Linked DNA regions of Lonchura striata. The protein of the gene in region 1 interacts with the protein of each later gene in a pairwise test. Links are inferred from orthologs where the notes say so. Each region holds a gene or a part of one and is shown in the gene's direction. Other genes may lie near its edges.

Evidence for each region. The genes of interacting proteins can lie anywhere in the genome.
Region 2: the proteins of MYOD1 (region 1) and ID2 interact in a two-hybrid assay, tested with the Homo sapiens proteins (2 studies listed by BioGRID). The link is inferred for Lonchura striata from reciprocal best matches to the Homo sapiens genes MYOD1 and ID2.

Annotation. Positions count from the first base shown.
Region 1 is NC_134608.1:48,599,498-48,607,180, reverse strand, and holds the start of MYOD1 (myoblast determination protein 1), read left to right. Parts: upstream 1-4,679; 5' UTR 4,680-4,830; coding exon 4,831-5,385; intron 5,386-6,849; coding exon 6,850-6,928; intron 6,929-7,494; coding exon 7,495-7,683. UniProt on the Homo sapiens protein: Acts as a transcriptional activator that promotes transcription of muscle-specific target genes and plays a role in muscle differentiation. Together with MYF5 and MYOG, co-occupies muscle-specific gene promoter core region during myogenesis.
Region 2 is NC_134605.1:98,358,617-98,365,003, forward strand, and holds ID2 (DNA-binding protein inhibitor ID-2), read left to right. Parts: upstream 1-3,896; 5' UTR 3,897-3,989; coding exon 3,990-4,337; intron 4,338-4,492; coding exon 4,493-4,549; 3' UTR 4,550-4,557; intron 4,558-5,229; 3' UTR 5,230-5,877; downstream 5,878-6,387. UniProt on the Homo sapiens protein: Transcriptional regulator (lacking a basic DNA binding domain) which negatively regulates the basic helix-loop-helix (bHLH) transcription factors by forming heterodimers and inhibiting their DNA binding and transcriptional activity.

The DNA of each region.
Region 1 (7,683 bases):
GAAATTAGGAGTTCTCATTAGATGAGAACTTTAGAGGTTCTAGGGCATATTTTGCATGTGTCACCAAAGACAGTAGCTTTGTCCAGACTTAACACAGGATGATTGCTTTAATTATGATACAGAGCCCTGTCTCAGCTAGCTCACTAAAGGTATTACTGTGGCACTCCTGCTACTTCTTATATTCCCTATTTGGTTCGAAGTAGGGGCATGAGATCCTAGTGAAAAAACAGCACACTTAAATAGAAGTGCATCAAAGAGAATGGTTACTCATTAGTTTTGCCTTTCAATTAGGGCAGTGTCAGTGAGCTTGGTTCAAGTGCAGAGGTGTCCAAATTCCTCTCATTAGTCCCCTACCAGAGTACCTCATTCTGTAGCCTGGCTCCCAAGGTCACCTAAGAAGAGCAACTGGCCAGATCAGCTGCCTGCAGTTAGGGATTTTTTGTCATTATATACATCTTTTCTGTAGTTGGCATTTGATTAATTGGAAGATTGCCTCACACTTTTGTGTACTACTTTAGCTGATACTCCTGTTTTGCTTAAAAATAAATTCAGTTCTATGTCTGCATCTCCAGTGTATTCCTCAATTCACCACCCAGGCATGCTCATGTTCTTCTCCAAGAGATTTTGTATGTGTACAAAACTGTGCCAGTATTTTTTTGCATCTGAGGAAGTTGTGCATGATGGAAGAGTATGACGGAGTGAAAATAAATGCCAGAAAACTGCATTACTCTAAAAGCACTGCATAATGAAACATTTTTAGTAAACTCTGATAGAGCTACAGTAGCAATTAAGTAGCAATTTCTGCAAAGCCCACCTTCTGTTGGTGTTGTAACATGGGATAGAAATCAATGTAATCAATGCAGATGTTTTCCCAATCTTTTCTGTGAATGTGGTCCAGCTTTGGGGTGGGGATGGCGAACACAACTACATTAAAACAACCTCTGTGTTAATTAATAAAAATACTGCCAAGTGCCACAAGAATGGCTCAAAGCACTTTTAAAATCATGCTAGATTTGCCTTTGTTGAGATTGCTGATCTCTAATACAGCAGGAGTCTAAAAGATATTTCCATCTGGGCTAGATTCCGTCACCCATCCTCATGCTGAGCATACCTTATTCAACAATTAGTTCCACTGACTGCAACTCAACATGAATAAGAGCAATGGAATCCATCCCTCTCAGTGTTAAAATACAGCTCACTAAGTGTGAACAGAGCAAAGCTACTAACTGAATTCTAAACTAGTGCTGCATAAAACTACTTCATGTACTACTAGTAATGTTTGACCTACTTGTACAACAACCTTCACCTTTTAAAAGCTGATGACCCGAAACGTAGTTACAGCTTCCTCCATGGTTTACAGCATTTAACAAAGTCCAACATAACAAATAATACATCTTCTAAATTTTTCAGAGCTAGACTTACTTGACTCTTATTTTCCCATGAAGTAGTGCCATGTCTGTTTCTCAGACTTCTCATGTTCATCTTCTAACCAAATGTAACCACATACTCTGAGGATTTAAGTCTTTTTCTCTCCCTTTTCCTTTGCCAGAACATGTTCTGGGCCTTTGCCTCTAAAGACAATTCTGTTAATTCCAGATAAACTCAAAATCAGCTGTTTCCCCAGCCCCTATCCTCCAAAAAAGAAAAGATAAATCAAGCAATTACTGCAGATAATAAGCTCTCCTTGTCCACATGCTGCTTCTGCTGAGGGGGCATACATGCTTGTGAATATGGTCTCAGATTTAACAATACCTGTCAGTTGTGTACAGGATGAATCTATCCATGTTTTTCAATGTAGGAAGTACAATCTGCTTCTGCCTTCCCAGCTTCCTTTTCAATCACATCCTGAAAAATAATATACCAAGGATGAATGTAGAATAGGTTAAGGGAAACAGCTCTTATAGAAACTTTACAAATTCTCTGCTGAATGCTTGTTGAGCCACACTCTCTGTATCTGTACTACCAAAGCAGTGCCCAAACATTCCACACAACCTGGGAAAGCTCTGAATAGCTAGTGCAGCACCAGTACCCTAAACATAGCATCCAAACTGGAAGATCAGGAGAGACCTAATCTTTACAGAAATTATGATTACAGCCCCAGAGGCTTTCAAAGAGGTTTAACAATGGAATCCTTGTAAATGCTTGCCATAAACACTACCTATGGTTGCCTGCTCTCAGAGTGAGGAATGCCCTTGAAAATCTCCAAGTGGAGATTGTTCTGTCCTTCATCCTCTCCACTGTGGCCACACAAAACTGGGAAGAGCATCTCAGGGTTTGTTCTTTGCAAGAACGTTTTTTTTAGGACTCACTGTACATGGCAACATCTTTCTGGACAAACATGTCTTTGGGAATTGCACTGGAAAGTAGATGTTAGTGGTGGCACCAGTAGGGAATCACAGAATCATAATTGTTAGGATTGGATGGCATGTCTGGAGACCAGCATGTCCAAACCCAAAGGAAGGTGTCCTCAAGGGCACTTTCACTGAAAGACTACTGTGTGGAATTCACTTGGTGGTCACAGCCTTCTCCTGACCTTTTCACTTGAAGGAATTCATGCACTTGAGCCCACACTCATGGGCAATTGTTGGCAAGTTCTCTGTAGTTGCCAACAACTGCCAAAGAGTGGGGCTTTGTCCAAGCCCCACTGTTTGTTACCACTTTGCCCAAGGTAATCCCTACTCACTCAAGTCCCAGAGTGTCTTTTCCTGGGGTCACATATAAGCTACAAACACACTAAGGCAGAATAGGCTATAATAATGACTAAAGATTAGGTAAAATTACATTTTTCCAAAAATTAAGCCAATGGTCTAGAGAGAGTTTAAGTGTCTTGAGTGGGTCACACTGCCAGCACAAAGCCTTCATATCCCATTTTACATGTTCAGTTGTTACAGCATAAATCTCTTTCTCATTTAAATGTATTTTACATTATTGTATACCTTGCACTATTTTCAATACAAATTATTTTTACTTTGTTAGCTGTTCAATAAAGATTTAAAACCAACTATCTTTATTGCTTCTGGATCAAAGAACATCTGTAATAACATTGAAATGTCTCCACAAAATTGTCACTCTGCCTTTCAGAAACAGCTGGGAGATACATTTCTAAATGTGTAGGGGTGGCCAGTAGCTGATCTCCCTCCTTGGGACATATTGCTTTTCAGCATTGGGTACTTTGAAAGAATGAATTTCTACGTATAGCTTTATCTTTAAATAAAACTTTTATCTTTTAGAGATACTGAGAGAATGCCATTTACAGTTCTAATCTTGGTCTGTACTCAAAGATATTTAGGCAAGTAGAAAATGGGGAGTGCAATTTAGGAATTTTTGCCAAAAAACAAATCGTGTAACAACAAAAGAAGCCACCATCATGACAGTCCATCTGAGAAGTCATAGGCACAGGGACTGGGAATTGATCATTGATGGATGTTTTTTACCTTTTGCGATTTTGTCAGTCAGCCCCTTATCCCACTGGAAACAGAGCTTTGCTGCTGATTTTGAATGAGCTGAAATTTTGCCAACATTTATAACTGCAGAACAGAAATTATTTTTAGCTTTTGGGACATTAAATATATGCAATTCTATTTTAATCATTAAGTCAGTGAAATCACATAATTGAATTACTTAATTCCTCTGAGGAGAACCTAATTTCTCATCTCAAATGATACTCAAAAAAACAGAGTAAAAACTCTGTCACCCTTGACAGACGATACTAAAATGGGATGCCATTTCCCCAAGCTCCAAACTCTCCCGCTGCTAGAATATAATCCTTCAGCCGTCCAACTGCAGCGCAACCGCAGCAAAACGCCACGGCGCGACCTGAGATCCATCCCTCCCAAGGCTTCCGAGTGAAGGCGAACAGAGCTGGAAGAGGAACCCGGAATGCCAGCGTTCGCAGGGGTTCCCGAGGCAAGGAAGGCAGGCGCACCGCGGCCACGGCGGCGCTTCCCGCTGGGACAGGCCCGCAGCGCCACCGGGCGGCCGCCACCTGCCCATCCCGCCTGTCCGCCGTGTCCCCGCGTCCCCTCTGCCCGCACCTCCCGCCTGTCCGCCGTGTCCCCGCGTCCCCTCTGCCCGCACCTCCCGCCTGTCCGCCGTGTCCCCGCGTCCCCTCTGCCCGCACCTCCCGCCTGTCCGCCGTGTCCCCGCGTCCCTCCTGCCCCGCACCTCCCGCCTCTCCGCCGTGTCCCCGCGGTGTCCCCGCTTCCCCGCCGGCCCGCACGGCCCCTGCTGCCCGCGGTGTCCCCTGGAGCCGCCCACCCCCACGAACGCCCCCGCAGTAATTACCCTTGTGTCCGTGGAGCCGCGGACAGACCTGCCCAGGGGCTGGGGGCTTTTTCCCTGTGAGGAACCAGCGGAGCCGCCACCGGTGTGTTCGGTGCGTCCCCCCGGGCGAGCGGCACCCGGCACCTTCGGGCATCGGGGCGGCTGCTCTCCCCGGCGCGGCGGCAGGGCGGGCTGCTGAGGCAGGAAAAAACAAAACCCGGGGGAAATGTAGCCCTGCGCGCATCCGAGCGCCCGGGCTGCCGCTGCCCCTGCGGGACACCGCGCCCCCCCGCCGCCCCGGCCCCCGACCCGCCCGGCCGCGCCCCCCGACCCGCCCCGCCCCGTCCCGACCCGCCGCGCCGGGGGGCTCGGCCATAAATACGGCCCCGAGTGGCGCTCCCGGACCGGCGCGGCTGCGGAGGGGTCGGGGCAGCAGCCAGCGCTGGTGGCCTCGCCTGGCAGAGGCTGCGAGAGTCTCGGCTCGGCAGAGCAGCCCGGTGGAAGGCCCCTCCGTCCGAGCCCCTCGCTGTCCCCTCTGGCCGGGCCGCTGTCCCCTCTGCCGCCCCCATGGACTTACTTGGCCCCATGGAGATGACGGAGGGCTCCCTCTGCTCCTTCACAGCCGCCGATGACTTCTACGATGACCCGTGCTTCAACACGTCGGACATGCACTTCTTCGAGGACCTGGATCCGCGGCTGGTGCACGTCGGGGGTCTGCTGAAGCCCGAGGAGCACCCGCACCACCACGGGCACCACCACGGGCACGAGGAGGAGCACGTCCGGGCGCCCAGCGGGCACCACCAGGCTGGCCGCTGCCTGCTGTGGGCCTGCAAGGCGTGCAAGAGGAAGACCACCAACGCCGACCGCCGTAAGGCCGCCACCATGAGGGAGCGCCGGCGGCTCAGCAAGGTCAACGAGGCCTTCGAGACCCTCAAGCGCTGCACCTCCACCAACCCCAACCAGCGCCTGCCCAAGGTGGAGATCCTGCGCAACGCCATCCGCTACATCGAGAGCCTGCAGGCCCTGCTGCGGGAGCAGGAGGACGCTTATTACCCCGTGCTGGAGCACTACAGCGGGGAGTCGGACGCCTCCAGCCCCCGCTCCAACTGCTCCGATGGCATGGTGAGTGCCCCAGGGAGGACTCCCTGCCACCAAGGTGCCCTGGACGCTGTTGGTCCAAACCTGAGCAGGGCAAGTCACCTGCCCTTCCTATAGCAGCTGCCTTCTGTACCTCCCCAGGCAGAAGACAAAGTCCTTTCTCGTGCCTTGAGCACTCGCGGCGAAGGGAGGTGGGGTCCCCACATGACAGGAGTTTTGGGAAAGAAGAATCTCATACACATTTTGTTCCCTGGGATAAGAAGTTAGGCAGGTTCCCCATGTCCTGGAGGAGCCAGGGAAAAGCTGCTGGGGGAGAACTTTGGGAAGCTGCCTGGAATGGGCACCCTGGGGGCATTGCCTGTGATCCCGTAGATCCTGAGGCATCTCTGTTTCCATCTTCTGCTGTATCATTACCTTTGAATCCTCTAAGGACAGCAGAGAGCAAGGGCCCTCTAGGACATGGTAGTTACACAGGAACTGGTAAGAGTCTGGGTTTTGTTTTCTTCCATTCATCATTACAACAGGAGGAGTGTCTAAGCAACAAGAGTTATTTTTCTGGACCCTTAAGAAAAAGATTCTCCATTTCTCTTCTCTCGCACTTCATCCCCTCCATAGATCTTTACAAGCAATAGGAAGGAGAATCCAGGCTTTTTGTCTTGATTGTACATTATGGGCATGGGAGAAGAAGGGTGGGTGCCAGAGAGGGTGTCTCACCCCCACATCTTTTGGCTGGGGCTGTAGGTTCAGCCTCTGGTGTGACTCTGGGCTGGTAGGATGCGGTGACCAGAGTCCAGGACAGCTCTCTGGATAGGCCATGAACTGCCCTTTCAGACCAGAGATTGCTTTTTGTGCTCTGGTGGGGATAGTCACTACTGAGTTGTGTATCTGTGATTATGAAAGACTTAACACATTGGAGAGATTTACACAAATTATTCCTCTTCAAGATACAACCTCTTTTAATAGAGGAATTTCATTGTGGATTAAAGTATTGGAAAAAAAATGCATTAGTCAATTTCATAGAGCACTTTCTATATGAAATGGAAATGGGAAGAGAAACTGAAGGAAATACAAAGGAACAGGGTAGACTGAGGCTTTTAAAGAGGAATTAATGTTTAGAAAAATCTTTAAAAACTAAATTAAAAAGACAATTCACATTTCACACAGGTTTCAGGACACTCAAATCTCTCTGTTGTAAACGAAAGATACATGAAGGGCTGTATCTGATCAGAATTCTGGAAAGCCTCATCTCATTTGTAAAGCTGCAGCATTCGATGCAAGGGTGATAACTTTCCTGTGGAACAGCTGTGCCACATAAAATATCCTGGGGTGGACCCCCTTCTAGCCATGTTTTTCCTTACTCAGAGAATCTACAACTTGATGGCATTCCAGACAGGACTGGAACGATGGCCAGAGCCTGAAATATGAAATTAGATGGTTCCTGGGATTTGGGTAAAAGTCTGATCTCACTTGGATTTCTCTCCTTCCCAGATGGAGTACAGCGGGCCTCCCTGCAGCTCTCGCAGAAGGAACAGCTATGACAGCAGCTACTACACAGAGTCCCCAAATGGTGAGTACATGCCCTAAGGGCGGTGTGAAACACCGAGACAGAGGCAGGCAGTGCAGCAGCTTTCCTGTGCCTGCTCCCTGTCCAGCTGGGCTGAGAGAGAAACCTGCCTTTCCAGCCAGCAAGCCATTGTTGCTGGTAGAGGCACTGCATTTCTTCTAGGTGTATTTGCAAATATGGGGATGTGTTATATCTGTATTTCCCATTTTGCAAATCTAACAGTTGGATAGAAGTATGTTATTCTCTGCAACTAATTTCAGCATTATCTATATTCTACATGAAGACTTCGTACTCTATCATTGATCCAAATTGGAGTAATTTATGACTGATTTCAAATCTGCTCTTCCCTTTCTATGGACTCAGTGAAGCCTTAGATCCTCCCTTTCCCCAGAGCAGCACACTGTGGTTGGACCTCTCTTCCATTTCGAAATTACAATCTGTTTTCTGATAATTGGTGTCCTTCACCAATACTCATTTCCTCTGAGTCTTCACATGCCCACAAATGTGTAGTGCCCACTGATGTTAATTACCCACTGGATAATCTGAGCACTTTTTTGTCTGTTTTTCAGATCCAAAGCATGGGAAGAGTTCTGTTGTTTCCAGTCTCGATTGCCTCTCAAGCATTGTAGAGAGGATTTCCACAGATAATTCCACATGCCCTATACTGCCTGCGGTGGAAACTGTTGCTGAAGGGAGTCCCTGTTCCCCTCCAGAAGGAGTGAGCCTGAGTGATGGTGGAGCCCAAATTCCTTCCCCCA
Region 2 (6,387 bases), on another chromosome or scaffold:
AGGGGACAGGGCCGCGGAGGAACGCGCCGGTCCCCAAGGGGGGCGGCAGCGCAGCCCCGCAGTTCTGCCCGGAGCCCCTCGCCCGCACACACACCGGAGGGAGCCTGGCCGGGGTGACTGTGCGGCCCTGGAGCTGGGCTGAGAACACCTTCAGAGGCGACAGAATAGGCAGCCTTCAAAACAACCATGAAAATACACTCTTTTGGCATGGAGGGGGAGGGAGGGGAAGGGGTGCCGCAGGACCGAACCCCCCACTCTCTACCCCACACCGGAGCCTCGGAAGCGCGGCCCGCTCCTTCCCGCCTGGGTCGCGGCAACCTGGCCCCGCAGGGCAGCCGGGCTGGGGGCGAGCGGCGGCGGCACCTTTCCCCCCGCGTCCATCCGCGATTTTGCCCGGTTTACCCTTCCCTCTCTCTTATCCCCCCCCCCCCCCCACCCCGCCTTCCCACATTCCCTCGTCCTCCCCCCGCGGCATGGCGAGGCGTCCGGCGGCGGCCCCCGCTGCAGGTGCGCCCGGGAGGGGGAAGCGAGGCCGGGCCGCCGCCGCGGGCGCAGCCCCGGTCGCCATGGCAGCCGCCTGAGCGGCGCCGCCGGGCCCGGGCGGCGCGGGCGGGGGGGGCGGCGGCGAGGGGCTGATGTCACGGGGCTGGCGCCGCGCAGTCCGGGCCGGCCCCGGGCGCGGGGCGGGGCACGGGGGCGCGGGGGGAACGGCGCCCCCGGGGCGGCCGCGCTCCCGCCGCCGCTCCGCGCACCCAGCGCCGCCGCGGGCTGGCGCCGGGCGGGGGGACCGAGCGCAGCCCCGCGTTCGTGATCCCGGGGGCGCGGAGGCGAAAGCGGCGCTTTGCGCGTGGCTTCGAGTGGACGCGGTTCCTCCCAGATGTTTGCGGCGGCGGCGTCTCGGGGCTGGGAAGTGGCTGTAAAAGTCCCGGCTGAAAACTAAAGAGGTGGACGCTCGGCTCCCGGGGCACTCGGAGTTGCCTGGGACGGGGCCTGGAAAAGCCCCCGCGGAGCAGCTCGCAGTCCCCTCCCCGGTGGGTTCGGCTCCCCCCCGCCCCGCAGTCCCCCCGGCTCGCCGGGCAGCGGGACCGCTCGTGGGGCCCGAGCGCAGGAGCTCCCAAAGCTAGCGAGCCGCTGCCAAAGCTTTCTATAGTAAAACAGCGGAACTGAGGGAATGCAACGTTAGGGAAAGACTCTTCAGCCGCTCTCCTGGGGAAAGCGGAGCCTGGCTGCTCCCGGGCTCTATTTTGCGTGCAGAAAGCGCATATGACAGTCATTTGCTGACAGAAAAAATAGCCAGGTTAGACTCTCCACACAACTTCCCGGTGTTCCAAAAAGCGTGTTAAGTCTTTGGTGTGGAAAACCGAGAGCAGTAACACAGGATCCTCTGCAGCGCCCGGCCGGCCGGTGCTGCTGCGCTGTCCAAGAACGACAAACAGTGATGGGAGAAGCATGAACATATTTACGTTGGCTATTATTAAAACCAAACCACTCCACATTTCTTCCACTGGTGCCTTCATTAGACAGAAACGCAAGTATGTTGCAGGACCAAAACCAGTGGCCGCTGGTCAAGTTCCACCACCAATTGGTATCTTAGAGATGTAAGGGTTGAAGTCGCCCTAAGTCGTGATTTTGAGTGGGTCCTTAATTGGCAGGATGGTTTTTATTATTATTTACTCTCTGTAACTGCACATGAACAGTGTACTTGTCTTCCTGTCAGATTGAATGTCGAGATTCACTTTCACCCTTCGTGTTTCAAAACGCGTTGAATTGTGTTCCTATCAGCCTCGGCACCGCCTCCAGTCCACCCCGGAGAACAGCCCCGGGGCAAACACCCCGGTGTGACAGTCGCCGAAGTGCCCGGTTAAAAGAATAACCAACCACCAGCTCAGGAATGCCACGTTAATTGGAAAAATAACTGATGTGGCTCTTCGCAGCTTTGTCTCCAAGTGTCCGCAATGTTCCTCTCTTACAGCCCCGACCCCCTTCGTGTAGCTATGCAACAACAGTGCAGATAAATCCAGTATTTGTCTGCTTTTAATATTTATGATTGGCAGCACAATCCTCACTGATTTTATGGATGTATGCGTTCACTACGGTTTTGCTTGCACTGAACACTAACGCGCTTTAGGCATCTGTGTGGTTTTACTATTAGAAAATTGCTGCGATTTGGGCAGAATTTCATTTATATTAGTTGTGTATATACATTCACGTTTTTGTAAGTTGAACTTTCCTTAGGTAGTGTGTGGAATGGAAGGTGGAAGCTGTGTCTTTGTTTTACAGCCCGTAGCATAAGCAAAATATAGGAAAATAAAATGGAACTAAACTTAAAAAAAAAAATCAAAGTCACTTCTCTAGCAAAAAAAGAAAAAACAAACCAGAAAAACCCCGAAAACTTTTTCCTCTGGAATGTTTCTGGAAGATGTTTCATTGGCTGCAACCAAAAGCTGCTAAAAGTACAGCGTGTAGTAAGCATTTGCATTTGTCACCAGAAACAATCTATGCATAATTAATGACAGTACTGTGTCACGAGCACTGATAGGGCGCAGATGAGCAGCTTTTCAAGGGTAATACATGTAAATGCACTTCCAATATGCAGATTTGCTTAATGATCTCCAATTAATAGCATCATCTGAAGTAGCCCTGTTCTCAGGAAGCAGGGCGCTAGAGTGACGCCTGCCTGGCTGTTGGGGTGCTCAGTGTCCCGTTTTCATCAGGACAGAAAGTTGCAGTGGGATTTAAAGGCTTATTTGATCTTTAATCTTGGTTTATTTCATTCCTGCCTACAGCGCTGGCTGCAAACCGGCCATTGACTTTCGCTGCCGTGCGCTAAGCGGGGTCGTGCAAACACCGCCGGGATGCTCCAGCTCACGGTGACCTCGGCACCCCTCGCTGCAGCGGGACCTGCGCATCCCGCACCGCGCTCCGGGCGCGGCGCCGCCAGCCCCGCACACCGGTGCGAGCCCGTGCAGAGATCGGGGCGCGGCGGAGGGGGAGCGGGCACGGAGGGTGTCAGGGGGCACAGAGAGGTGTCAGCGGGCATGGAGGGTGTCAGCGGGCACAGAGAGGTGTCAGGGGGCACGGAGAGGTGTCAGGGGGCACGGAGAGGTGTCAGGGGGCACGGAGGGTGTCAGGGGGCACAGAGAGGTGTCAGGGGGCACGGAGAGGTGTCAGGGGGCACGGAGGGTGTCAGGGGGCACAGAGAGGTGTCAGGGGGCACGGAGAGGTGTCAGGGGGCACGGAGAGGTGTCAGGGGGCACAGAGAGGTGTCAGGGAGCACAGAGAGGTGTCAGCGGGCACGGAGGGTGTCTGGGGGCACGGAGGGTGTCAGGGGGCACGGAGAGGTGTCTGGGAGCACAGAGAGGTGTCAGGGGGCACGGAGGGTGTCAGCGGGCACGGAGAGGTGTCAGGGGGCACAGAGAGGTGTCAGGGGGCACGGAGGGTGTCAGGGGGCACAGAGAGGTGTCAGGGGGCACGGAGGGTGTCAGCGGGCACAGAGAGGTGTCAGCGGGCACGGAGGGTGTCAGGGGGCACAGAGAAGTGTCAGCGGGCACAGAGAAGTGTCAGCGGGCACGGAGGGTGTCAGGGGGCACGGAGAGGTGTCAGGGAGCATGGAGAGGTGTCAGGGGGCACGGAGGGTGTCAGGGGGCCGGGCGGGACCGCGGCGCTGCCACCCCGAGCCCCGCGCGGGCCCGCACAGCCCCGCGCACTATTTACTCCCTCAGCTGTGCGCGCGGCCACGCCTCCCGCTGCCATTGGCTGACCGGGCGGAAGGCCCCACCAGTGAGGGCGCCCCGCGGTGATGGACGTGCCGGCGGCAGCCAATGGCAGCGAGCGCGGGCCGGGCCCGGCGGCGGCCGCCGTATAAGAGCGGCCGCGCAGAGCCAGCCCTCAGTGCGAGCTCCGGCAGCGCCAGAGCGGCAGCGCAGCGCTCCGCAGGCTCCAGCCCGCACGCCAGAACCGCGCTCTCCGCCGCCCGCCCGCCTGCCAGCATGAAAGCCTTCAGCCCGGTGCGGTCCGTCAGGAAAACCGGCCTCTCAGAGCACAACCTGGGCATCTCCCGGAGCAAGACCCCCGTGGATGACCCTATGAGCCTGCTGTACAATATGAACGATTGCTACTCCAAGCTGAAGGAGCTGGTGCCCAGCATCCCGCAGAACAAGAAAGTGAGCAAGATGGAAATCTTGCAGCACGTCATCGACTACATCCTGGACCTGCAGATCGCCTTGGACTCGCACCCCAGCATCGTCAGCCTGCACCACCAGAGACCCGGGCAGAACCCTTCCTCCAGAACTCCTCTGACCACCCTCAACACAGACATCAGCATCCTCTCGCTACAGGTACGAGCGTCCCCCGCTCGCCGCCGAGCTGCGGCGGCGGCGCCGCGGTGCGCTCGCTCTCCGCGGGGCAGCGCCGCGGGGGCCGGGACAACCCGCTCCGGCCTCCCCGGAGTGCTCGGCCACCTCGCCCTTACCCTGCTCTTGTTCTCTCGCAGGCGTCCGAGTTCCCCTCAGAGCTCATGTCAACTGACAGCAAAGCACTTTGTGGCTGAATCAAACGGTGAGTGCGGTGCGCCTTTTTCCCGAACTTCGGGTAAAAAACTGCCTCCCCGGGGAATGGGAGGCGTGATAGCAAATGCTAAAAATAAGTCCTAAAAGTTGATTGGGAAATGCCTTTGTAATCGGTAAGAAATGAGACTAATAACTGAGTCTTGAGGTCCTAAGCGTGTGTGTGTCGCTAAGGTTCACCCTGCAGCACAGGCTCTTCTGATCCTGCTCGCTGCTTAATGCAAATTCTTATCTGTTCTTGGAGCCTTAACTTCCTGGGCCAAAGTGACTGATTAAGTTGGGAATCTTGGCACAATTCCTTGAATTCTGTGATGTGGGATTGTCTGCGCTATCAGTTAAATAAGTGACTGCTTTTAATCAAATAATTGCTCCAAGAGGCAGACTGGCGCCTCTGAGCATTGCGTTTACAGAGATCTAAATAAAGATTGGACTGAGAATCCTCTTTCTAGCCTTTCCCTGGAGTGTATGTTATTTTTATGTTCAATTTGTGCTCTTGAGAGCGAGTGTGTGAGCTTGTATGTGTTGCATCTGGACGCCAGGGTTTGCCCAATCTCTGAGTGTTTGGTTAAATGTTCAAACTGTGGCTTCCTCTCTGGCGCCAGTCTGTCCGGATCTCTGCCCTGTTAGCATTCTCCTAAATACGCCTCTTTTCAATCTCTTGCAGGTGTTCCACTGATGAGATTTTTTTTTTTCTTTTGCACAAGAAAATGTCTACAGGATTTTTTTTTCTTTTTTGAGGTGCTGTATTTTTCAGCTGTACCTGGAGGGGAAAATCCACGTTCAAGTAAAAGGAACTTTTAAAATGAATAAAGAAGAAAAAAATCAAGATTGATCTTTAACCCCACCCCATTTTTCAACTTGGACTGAACCTAGTTATTTATGAAGAGACTCTTAAATACCCTTTCCCTAGTTGGAAGGCTTCCTTTATATACTATTCCCAACGTGGGGAGCGAAACAAAAATTCACAAGGAGTTGCCCATTTTAAAGCAGACTTTGCCTTTTTTTCCAAAGGTGGAGCGTGAGTACCGGAAGGATCCAGTGTTCAGTTTTTTAGGAAAGTCTGTGGTCAGAAATTACCTTTTTGACACAAACCTAGGACTGAATGCTGTGTATATATTTATATATAAATATATATATATATGAGTGAAACCTTGTGAACTCTTTAATTAGAGTTTTCTTGTATAGTGGCAGAAATACACATTTCTGCAAAAAGTGTAATGATGTACTTAATCATGCTAAACTTTTTATAAAAGTTTAGTTGTAAACTTAACCCTTTTTATACAAAATAAATCAAGTGTGTTTATTGAACTGATTGCTTGCTTTATTCTTTGGGGACCAACTGTTGGCTTTGATTTATGTTGTTTTTGTTGGTTTTTCTAATACTTATACCTTGTTATGAATTTATCAAGTAAAAATTCAAATATGTAGAGACTATAAAGAATAAAATTACCTGAAGTGAATAATTCTTGTAACTTGGAAAATCTTATTTGAGCGTATATTGCAATCTTCTAAGTCATCTGCCTGTAAACAGTGTGAAAGGAACGAGAAAAGGAATTTATTACACAAGGGGTGCTATTGACAAAAGTGCTTGGAAATGTACAAAAGCTGTTAATCCTGAGGCATTCCCATAGAGTATTGCTTTTTTTCTTCCCTCCCACCCCTCTGAATGATTCAGTTGGGGTAGTAATGGCCCAGATCTGTTAATTTGTGCTTGGAATAATCACTCAGAATTAAGGGTTGTGGGTGGTTATTAGTGCCCCAACTATTAAATTTCTCTAAAAAGGCTTTGAATGTGAGAGTTGGTGATGCGTTAACATGGGAT